Linked DNA regions of Rattus norvegicus. The protein of the gene in region 2 purifies or fractionates together with the protein of the main gene of each other region. This does not show direct contact. Links are inferred from orthologs where the notes say so. Each region holds a gene or a part of one and is shown on either strand. Other genes may lie near its edges.

Region 1 (4,556 bases), on a different chromosome or scaffold from region 2:
AATCTGTTTCTTGAGACAGGGTTTCTCTGTACAGTCTTGGATGTCCTGGAACTCACTCTGTAGACTAGGCTGGTCTTGAACTCAGAGAGAAATCTATCCTCATGCAGAGATCAAAGGTGAGCCACTACCACACCATCCATCTACTAAATTTTTTTAATTAACTTTTTTCATATTAATTCACTTTAAGATGTGAATACCCAGGATGGAGAGGTGGTTCAGTTCCCAGATGGGCAGCTTATGACAGTCTGTAATTCCAACACCAGGGAATATAATGCCCTTTTCTGGCCTCCACGGGCACCCATGAATATATTGTATATAATTATACCTATATACACATAAAAATGTTTTTAAATATATCTTTTATAAGATTAAAAAATATATATATACAACTTTTTAAAAAAGGCCAGAGAGGGGTCTGAAGGGATGGCTCAGTGGTTAAGAGCACTGACTGCTCTTCCAGAGGCCGAGTTCAATTCCCAGCAACCACATGGTGGCTCACAACCATCTGTAATGAGATCTGGTGCCTCTTGTGACCTGCAGGCATACATAAATAAATCTTTAGAAAAAAAAAGGATAAAAAAATAAAAAATTAAAAAAAGGCCAGAGGGAAGATGTGATTTCATGCACATAAGTATACTGTCCTCAGACACACCAGAAGAGAGCATTGGATCCCATTAGAGATGACTGTGAGCCACCATGTGGTTGCTGGGAATTGAACTCAGGACCTCTGGAAGAGCAGCCAGTGCTCCCAACTGCTGAGCATCTCTCCCGACCTAAATAAATCTTAACGAGATTTTTAAAAAGACATTAATACCACAATATGAAAATTTTCTAGATTCTTTAAAAAAGGAAATTTTTCAGAGCTGAAGACATAGCTCTGGTTAAAAGCACTGGCTGCTCTTCCAGAGGACCCAGGTTTGATCCCCAGCACCAACATGATGGTTCACACACATTGGTACACATACATACATGCAGGCAAAACACGCATACACCAAAAATTAGATAAATAAGCCTAAAAATTCTTACCTAGCACTTGTAGCAATAACAAAGCATTTAATAAGCATGTTCCTAATGAGTTTTACAGTAAGTTATACAGACTACAACTATCTTTGGTTGGCACTTTACTTCTTAGGACTTTTTATGAGCTGCCAATTCTATTTGCCCATTTCCTTATACTTTCCAAAGCAGTTTCTTAGTAGCTGCCCCCTCAAAGGTAAAGCAAGTAGGAGACTCATTCCCATTTATAAAGGACAGGAAGCAAAGCTACTATGCTGGACACTGTATTCTGCAGTTATGCTTACCAACTGCCACTCTACTCCCTTCAAGTTCTCTGGCAGGGCAAGTGACCTCTCCAGGACATGGATGCAAGGTGTGTTGTCAAGATGCACGTGCCTTGTGGCCCTTGAAAGATTACAGAGCTAATTGCACTGTTAAGATAGCAAGGCGGAGACACCCATTTTTCAGACAGCTCAGTAAACTCCTATTGTGGATAGTTCACTTCTATAAACAGTTCTTCAGGGCCTGGCTCACTTGTGTACCCTGCCTGGCCTGTAAGCTTAATTACAGCTCAAGTACAAAATGAGAATCGATTCCGTTCGTGTCCTTTCAAATGGTACTAGAAAATATACTAAGATTTTTCAGATAACCCAATTATTTCTCCCTTTAAAAAGGGGGAGGATTATTTAAAAAACAGGCAGAATCTTCCATTTCCTCAGGGTAAAGAAACCGTAGCTCATCTCTGTCAAGCATTTAATATTCAGTTCGGTTTAACTTCACACAACCAGCAATCACTAATGTCATGACCAGCAGTTAATATACAAGGTGTCATTAATGTGCCCTCAGGACTTAACATAAAAATTAGTATATCAGTGTAATGACCAAAGCATTCACTCCGACTACAAGAAGCCAGTGCAATTACTACTCCTTGAACCTTTACTATACATCCAATTTCTCATTCCCATTACCTTTTAATACAAGACCAGCCATTCTGTCTACTCCTAGGGGACTGAGCCATAAAGTAGAAAATCTCCCAAATCCCACTTCCCCCGATAAACTGCAGTTAGGAGCTTGCACCAGGACTTTTAACCTTAACTAAGAAACCCAAACTGTCTAGTCCTCAGTTACAATCCGAACTGGATTAGAACTACCTGTATGACCTTGGGCCAGTCATTTCAAACTTCTAGGCCTCAGTTTCCTACACTCACTAACTGAACTTTCGCTTGTATTTCCTGCTTTTAAGGTCCAGTGAATACCCTCACTGGATCACTATCTATCATCACCGAATAGGCAGGTGCTTTAATAGTTAAGCCTTAAGTTTCTCAAGCGGTACACGTTCTAGTACATTCTACTCCCTCATCGGGGTGCTATGGTCCAGACTTCGCTTTGGACATATTATTTTCTAATATTGAAACTGTAACGCTTATCTCTATGGATTTACTTCACCTTTCCCTACTATTTGGGCTACCTACTAGGCCTAATTCTAATACTACACCTATACCGGATTACTCAGTCCACCTCTGGGTGGGCCAGGACAGGGCCTAAGAAAACTCTAGAACCAAAGCCATAGGAAGTAGTTAGCTTTCTCAGAGGTCAAGGGAAACCCCAGGACACCTGCCACGCCTCCCGACCCCGGCGGCGCTGCCCAGACCAGTCTCTCTAACCCTGCCGCTCTCCTCATTGCTCTGAGCGTCCGCCCGGGCCTGCGCCACTCGAATGCCCGCCGGACCCTCAGCCGTCGAGATTCCTGCCACGCCCGACCCCCTCCGCCGCGCCGCCGCTCACCCAGACTCGTCCCAGGCCTGAGGTCCCCGCACACGCTTCCCGTCTCACCTCGAGCCTCCCGGGGACCACTGGCGGCTCCCTCACCTTCTCCCACCCGCACACCGGGCCCCGTGCTGCAGTGGAGACAGCGGCAGAGGCGGCCCGACCGTCACGTGCCGCAGAACTAAGAGGCCTCGGCTACCGCCGCCGCGCGAGCGAGCCCCACCGCACGAAGCCCAACCCCGCGTCCGCCCCTCGTTCCTGAGTGGCTACAACAAACGTCAACTCCCGTCCCTTTGCGCAAGATCTGAGAATCTATTGGTAGATACGGCCATCGCTCAAAGCTCTTTCCCATACGCCCCCTAGGGCTATTCTTCGTGGAGCGTGATGATTGGACAAGAGTGAGGCAGGAAGTGGTTGCTGATTGGGTATGAGGAAAGAAGGCGGCCGTCACCAAACGGGCGGGTGCGCGGGCCGGAGGGCGGGCGGATTTGGCGTGCGTCCTCGCGTGGGTCGACCTGGTTCCTCAGGGCCGGTGTGTTGGTGGCCATCCAAAAGACACCTTTTCCCACCCATTGAGTTAGAAACCCTGTTCCAATCCTGTCTGGGACCTATGCCCTTCATCAGAAATGGTGAGAGGTCAGGCCAGTGTGCTTATGCAGCGAATGAGATCCCTCTGGGCAGCAGACACTGTCTTGCGGAGTCATCGCCCTGAACCTGGGACCTTTTTACCTAACAAAACACTATCTAGAGTCACAATCATGCAACATGAACTCACCTTCCCATGTTCCCGTGCTGTTTCAGGCGTTAAAATCAGACATACTCTAGCGACAGGGTGATGCCATGTGCAGATTTAAAATAGCCATTTCGTAACCCACTCCTTTTTCAATATGGTGAAAACGCTGTAAGATTGAAGTGGCTATGGATTTGGCTATGTCTTTGAAAATCCTGATCGCTCCTGGTTGTGTTTGGTGACCCAAAGCTTTGACTACTGGAGAAAGAAACAGATTTTTATCATCTATGTAACTACATATGAAACCAGCTTTGTTCCTGCTACCCCAAGAGAAAGGCAGTTAAGGATTTGATGTTTAGGTCAATTTAGTAACCGCCAATTCTCCCTAATTTTAAAGAAGAAAATCCCTTTCCTTATTTGCCTTATAAAGAGCATGTTTAAAAAAAATGAAGCCAGGTTGGCACATGCTTTAGTCCCAGTTCTTAGGTATTTAGGAGGCTAAGGCAGAAGAATCCCCTTAAGGATCTGGATAGAGAGAGCTCAGTGATCAAGAGCACTTGCTCTTCCAGAGAACTCAGGTTCAGTTCCCATCACTCACAACTGCCTGTAATTCCAGTTCCAGGGGATTTTATGCTGCCTCGAATCCAATGACAGCGGACATTACATAAGTACACATAATTTATACACACACACACACACACACACACACACGCGCGCGCGCGCGTAAGTACACATAATTTACACACACACACACACACGCGCGCGCGCGCGCGCGCGCGCGTGTGTGTGTGTGTGTGTGTGTGTGTGTGTGTGTGTGTGTGTGTGTGTATTTAAATTTGTTTAGGATGGGTGTTCTGGCTTGTGTTACCCAAGATGGCATTGAATTTAAGAGAACAAAAAAAAAATCCTGCAGAGAGGTGTTAAAATATGTCAGTACTGAAGGAGTAGAGGAGTTGAGGCAGAACTTTTCTAAGAAAGAGAAAGAGGTGAGACTTGGCCTGAACCTCATAGATATGCAAATTTTCTGTAGGTGGAGTTGGAAAGAAGTTCTTAAGATGAGAAA
Region 2 (4,526 bases):
TGTTTTTAAAGTCTCTCTTTATTTACCTGACAAACTTCCCCCAAACCCTCTTTAAATGAGTATTTCTACTATCATCAAAATGCAATCAGACATTTCCAGGCCTGACCCTGGGCCTCCTTAACCAGATTTTGCAATTAAGCCCTGAATTTTAGCATCTCTTAATTCAAACTGAAGTTATTCTGTGAGATCTCAAGCAAATGAGAAGAAAGGTAGAAGGACATCTAGTAATTAGCTGTCTTAATCTAGTATCTCTTAGAAAACTTAGCTTCCAGGAACTTTCTGTGGTGTTAATAAGCCAACAGGTCACTACTCTCCTAAGAGTTTCGTCTCTGCTTGCCTAACAGGAGGAGGCAGCTACTATCAAACCAATCATAAGTATGAGTTAACATTCCTGTACCCATAAAAAGTCACCAGAGAAACCAGAGACAGACCAGATGTCCGGCTTTCAGTGCAGTAACAGTCCCTCTCAAGGTCAAGGCAAAAAATATTATTTCCTGAGCCGAATAGGAACTTCTGGCACTAAAGTCCATCTTTATAGGCCTTTTCTAGAAGCATGAATTTCAAATGGGTTGCAACAGTTATTAACCAAACTGATGAACACAAGATATTTATTAATACATGAACCTATTACTCCGGGCAGAGAACAAGGCTCAAGAAAATGAGTCACTCCAGCAGCACATTTCACAGAAAATAGGGAAATTATAGAAAATGCTACCGGGGTCACTGAGTTCTGGAGTTGGAATGACGAGACTAAATTCATTTACTTTATGGACTTGTGAGTCAGTCAATGAACTGCTGACAGTATTTTAGGAAAGCCAAGGGTCCAGGGTTACTGAAACTTCACCATACATCTATACATACCTCCTTATGAAGGGACATACAAGCGCATGTAAATGAGAAAGGTTTACTAAAGGAGGATCAATTACTAAGGCCAATATTAAGCTTGATAAGTCCTTCAACCATAAATTGTAAAATGATCAGATAGTCTGTAAGAGAATATCTATAGAATTACACATTGATGTTTTGCACTCAAAAGCCTAACTACAGAAATATAGTTTCCACTATATATTTGAAGATACTTGAAAATCCTACAGCAAACTTTCAAAAGTTTTAAAGGAAATACCTTTTCCACCTTCAAATCTGCAAAGTACCTTAAATTAGCAATATCCAAGGTCTTGTTTACATTATATGGTGTAGTTCCTACTTTCCTGATTAAAGGAGGACAAATAACATTAACTAAAATGACATATTGCCAATCAATTCCAACGTCAACTGTGGAAAAACTGGTAGCTTTCTACAACTAGAAATACAACTTCCTATATGAAAGTTGAACTTTTGTCTCTTTTCTCTAGGGTTTTCCCATGGTCCTCCCAAATGAGACAATTTGTAAATACATCTTAAAAAGTGATATTCTGTGGGAGGAGAAAAGATTTTAACTTCAAGGTGTGAAAATCTACTTTAATTCTGTAGGGAAAGGTTCAGCATGTCAACCACCGATAAAACTGACTAAATAAATGACTCACTCCTGTGTAGACACTGTTTTCAAATGAGTGAAATTTCATATTTAAAAATCCTACAAACAAGGAGCCTCCAATAATTCTGCCTAAGAGGAAGAAAACGTCTTGGAATATTTAATACCTCTTTTAAGCGTATTTTACAGTCAATTACTAGATGGTCTCTATGATGCCTTTCAGTACAAATCTTCCTTAATTCTTTGGGTAAGTTTACCAGACTATTCTTAGAGCCTTGGTAATTACAAATAGAACACAGATGAGAAAGAAACTTGGAGTTAAAGCTGTCATTACTAAGCCTAATTAAACGCTGCAGACAGAAAGATGGCAGTAGAATAAAGCATCCTGAATTAGGGAAAGGAGAACATAATGAGTAGGTCACTGCTCTAGCAATGTGGTAAAGCATGTTAAAGTACACAACAAAGTCCGGCCTAGGCCTAAGAGTGGATAGAGGGGGTGTCCCCTCCCCCGCCCAGTTCCTTAAGTGGCAAGCAACCCACCCAAACAGTAATACGCTTCTCTCCCATTAATTTGATTTTCTACCTACCTGAAGTAACCAACAGCACTGGAAATGCTCGCCAACTAGAATGTGGATCCTCTAATCTCAGTAAGTCCTACCCTTTATTAGCAGTTTTCCTACTTTATATCCTAGTGAGGAATCAATATATTATATATTTAAACACCATAAAATGGTGAGACATCTCACCTCTATATTGAAACTCAAGCTATGGCTATTTTCTGGCCAGACTGCTTTGACTTTCACCCCCATGCCACCTTATGATATAAGCCCGACAGGGACCATTGATACTCAGTGGGTCTCTAACTAGAAGATCAATATCCCTAGCTGGTAAAAAGAAGTTTGGTCGTCCTGTGGAGCAGCAGCAGGCAGATGGGTGGCAATGCGGGGCAGCATCTTCGCCGCACGGAGCAGTACTAGCCAGACCTTGGTAAGTTTCCTTCCCTGCGATGCACTAAATCACGCTGCCAGCACCACGGCCCCACCCCGCCCTATTACGGAAAAGCAAGCGGGCTGCTCGCTGAAGGACGGGCGGACAGCTCCCCCGCTCCCTGCACCAGTTGGCTTTCACCCGGGCCGCAGCTTATCCCTGCCGTGGCCGCTTCCCCCGGGACCAACGCGGCTGCCAACTTTGCCGCCGCCCCCTCCACGGCGCAAGCATCCCAAACTTTGCGGACTACCTCACCTGGTGGTTCGGCGCCGGTCCCCGGGAGAGGGCTGACCTTCACGCCCGCCCCAGCTGCCCGTGGCCCCTCTGCCGCCCCCGGCCCGCCTGGGAAACCCTTGGCGGGGATGCCTGCAGCCCGACCCCCGTGCCACAACTGACCCTCTAGACCCTGAGAGCCCGGGAATCCGCGACTCAGGTTAGCCACTCACCATTGGTAAAGGTCTCCATCTTCGCCCGCTGCGGGTCCTCACCAGCCCAGCGCCCCAAGCTTTCTACTCCGAGAGCTGAAGCGGCCCCGACGACTGAGCATGCCCAGCAAGGCCTCGGAAGGCTGCCGGGGAGGTGCGGCGAGGGGCGGCGCCGCTCCGCCGCACGGCAACAACACCTTCGTTCCGGGTTTTCGCAACTGCTGCAAAAGGCCCACTGAGGCGTGGACGCTGAGCATAGCCCAACCCTTGGCCTACTCCGCGGAGAGGCGGCGGAGAGGCGCTCAGTGCTGGGGCGGGGCTAAGCCCCGCCCCCAGCGGCGCACTCGGAGCCGCCGCGCTGTCTCTGCCGCAGAGCTGTAGTACCCCGGTTCAGACAACTGATACACCTACTACTGCATCCGGCTGTGTTCCGGGTGCGGCAACCCCGGCACTGAGCCCGGAAATGCGGCCGGTGAGGCCGTCGCCACAGAGCCAGTCGCCAAATTCGCGTTCTGAAAGCGGCAAGGCCCGGGCTGCGTCGGCCTCTACGCTGGGCTAGCCCGGGACGACGCTATTCCTAGCGGCAGGAGCAAGCCCTGCGGCGGTGGTCGGCAGGACTTTCCTTCCATTAGCAGAACGCCTTGCAGCTCCTGCTGCAAAACCGGAGGCCAGAGGAAGGGAGGGGCCCGGGAGACGTTGGGTGCCTTTTGCTTAGGGCTGGGCATAAAACTGTGAGCAAATCTCAAAACCCGGCGCGGGGTGTAGGAGAACGGACCGTGCGCGCAGAGGTTGTGGGCCGAGAGGCCGGCCTGCCTAGTCCAGTCCTAACTCGACACCAGCAGTTGACTGCTCCCAGCCTGCAGGGCATGCGACCTGATACTGCCGAGCTAGACTGGAGGGAGCCAAGTTTCCCCTTCCCCCTAAGACTCACGGCCTTGCCTGGGGCCCATTTGTTTCCGGTGCCAAATCGGGGCAGTCCCCCGCAGCCTATGAGATTTCGGCCCCTGCGGCGACTTGGCTGGGCCTTGGCCTCAACAGCGCTAGCCAACTGTCACACACTCCTCCCAAGCTGTCAACCCGAGCAAACAAATCTAAGCTTGAACAAATATCCTGGGCGAAGGAGGGGAGGCAGTGATGTTGTTCGACCGATAAGGAAATTCTAACTATGTTCAAAGAAATAAACCCGAAGCGCAATATTTTTAAGAGGTCAATTGTACCTTCCCACTCCTGATTTACAACACCCTATGAAACCAACTGTACTTGGAGTAACCACTAAACTCCTTACCTAACTCTGGGTCCTCATTAACATTCTGGTCCTTTGCTGGCCCCTGAGGCTTTCATAAGGTTCCTAGAAATTACCAAGTTTCACTCAGCATGGTTAACCATTCCTTAAAAAACAAAAACAACAAAAAGAAAAACCCTCCTACAAAATTGTTCCACCGCTTGACGTTCTATTTACTTACTTCTTCCTGTCATTTTCTTAACTCAAACATCACCCCTGCAGAGAATCCCCTGACCACAACAAGCACAGTGGGTTCTATAAAGATTCCTCCTGCCATTCTCAGAGCACTCTTGGCTTATGTTTATCAAGAATGCAAGATCAGCGGGACAGGTTTTTGCATTTTTTACAGCTATGTCTTAAT

The links.
Region 1: the proteins of Lnpep (region 2) and Canx purify together in Homo sapiens (affinity purification with mass spectrometry; 3 studies listed by BioGRID and IntAct, with this or other methods). This does not show direct contact. The link is inferred for Rattus norvegicus from reciprocal best matches to the Homo sapiens genes LNPEP and CANX.

Annotation. Positions count from the first base shown.
Region 1 is NC_086028.1:35,154,933-35,159,488, forward strand, and holds the start of Canx (calnexin precursor), read right to left. Parts: upstream 2,926-4,556; 5' UTR 2,830-2,925; exon of another isoform or gene 2,782-2,829; intron 1-2,781. UniProt on the Homo sapiens protein: Calcium-binding protein that interacts with newly synthesized monoglucosylated glycoproteins in the endoplasmic reticulum. It may act in assisting protein assembly and/or in the retention within the ER of unassembled protein subunits.
Region 2 is NC_086019.1:67,024,617-67,029,142, forward strand, and holds the start of Lnpep (leucyl-cystinyl aminopeptidase), read right to left. Parts: upstream 2,995-4,526; 5' UTR 2,924-2,994; coding exon 2,905-2,923; intron 1-2,904. UniProt on the Homo sapiens protein: Release of an N-terminal amino acid, cleaves before cysteine, leucine as well as other amino acids. Degrades peptide hormones such as oxytocin, vasopressin and angiotensin III, and plays a role in maintaining homeostasis during pregnancy.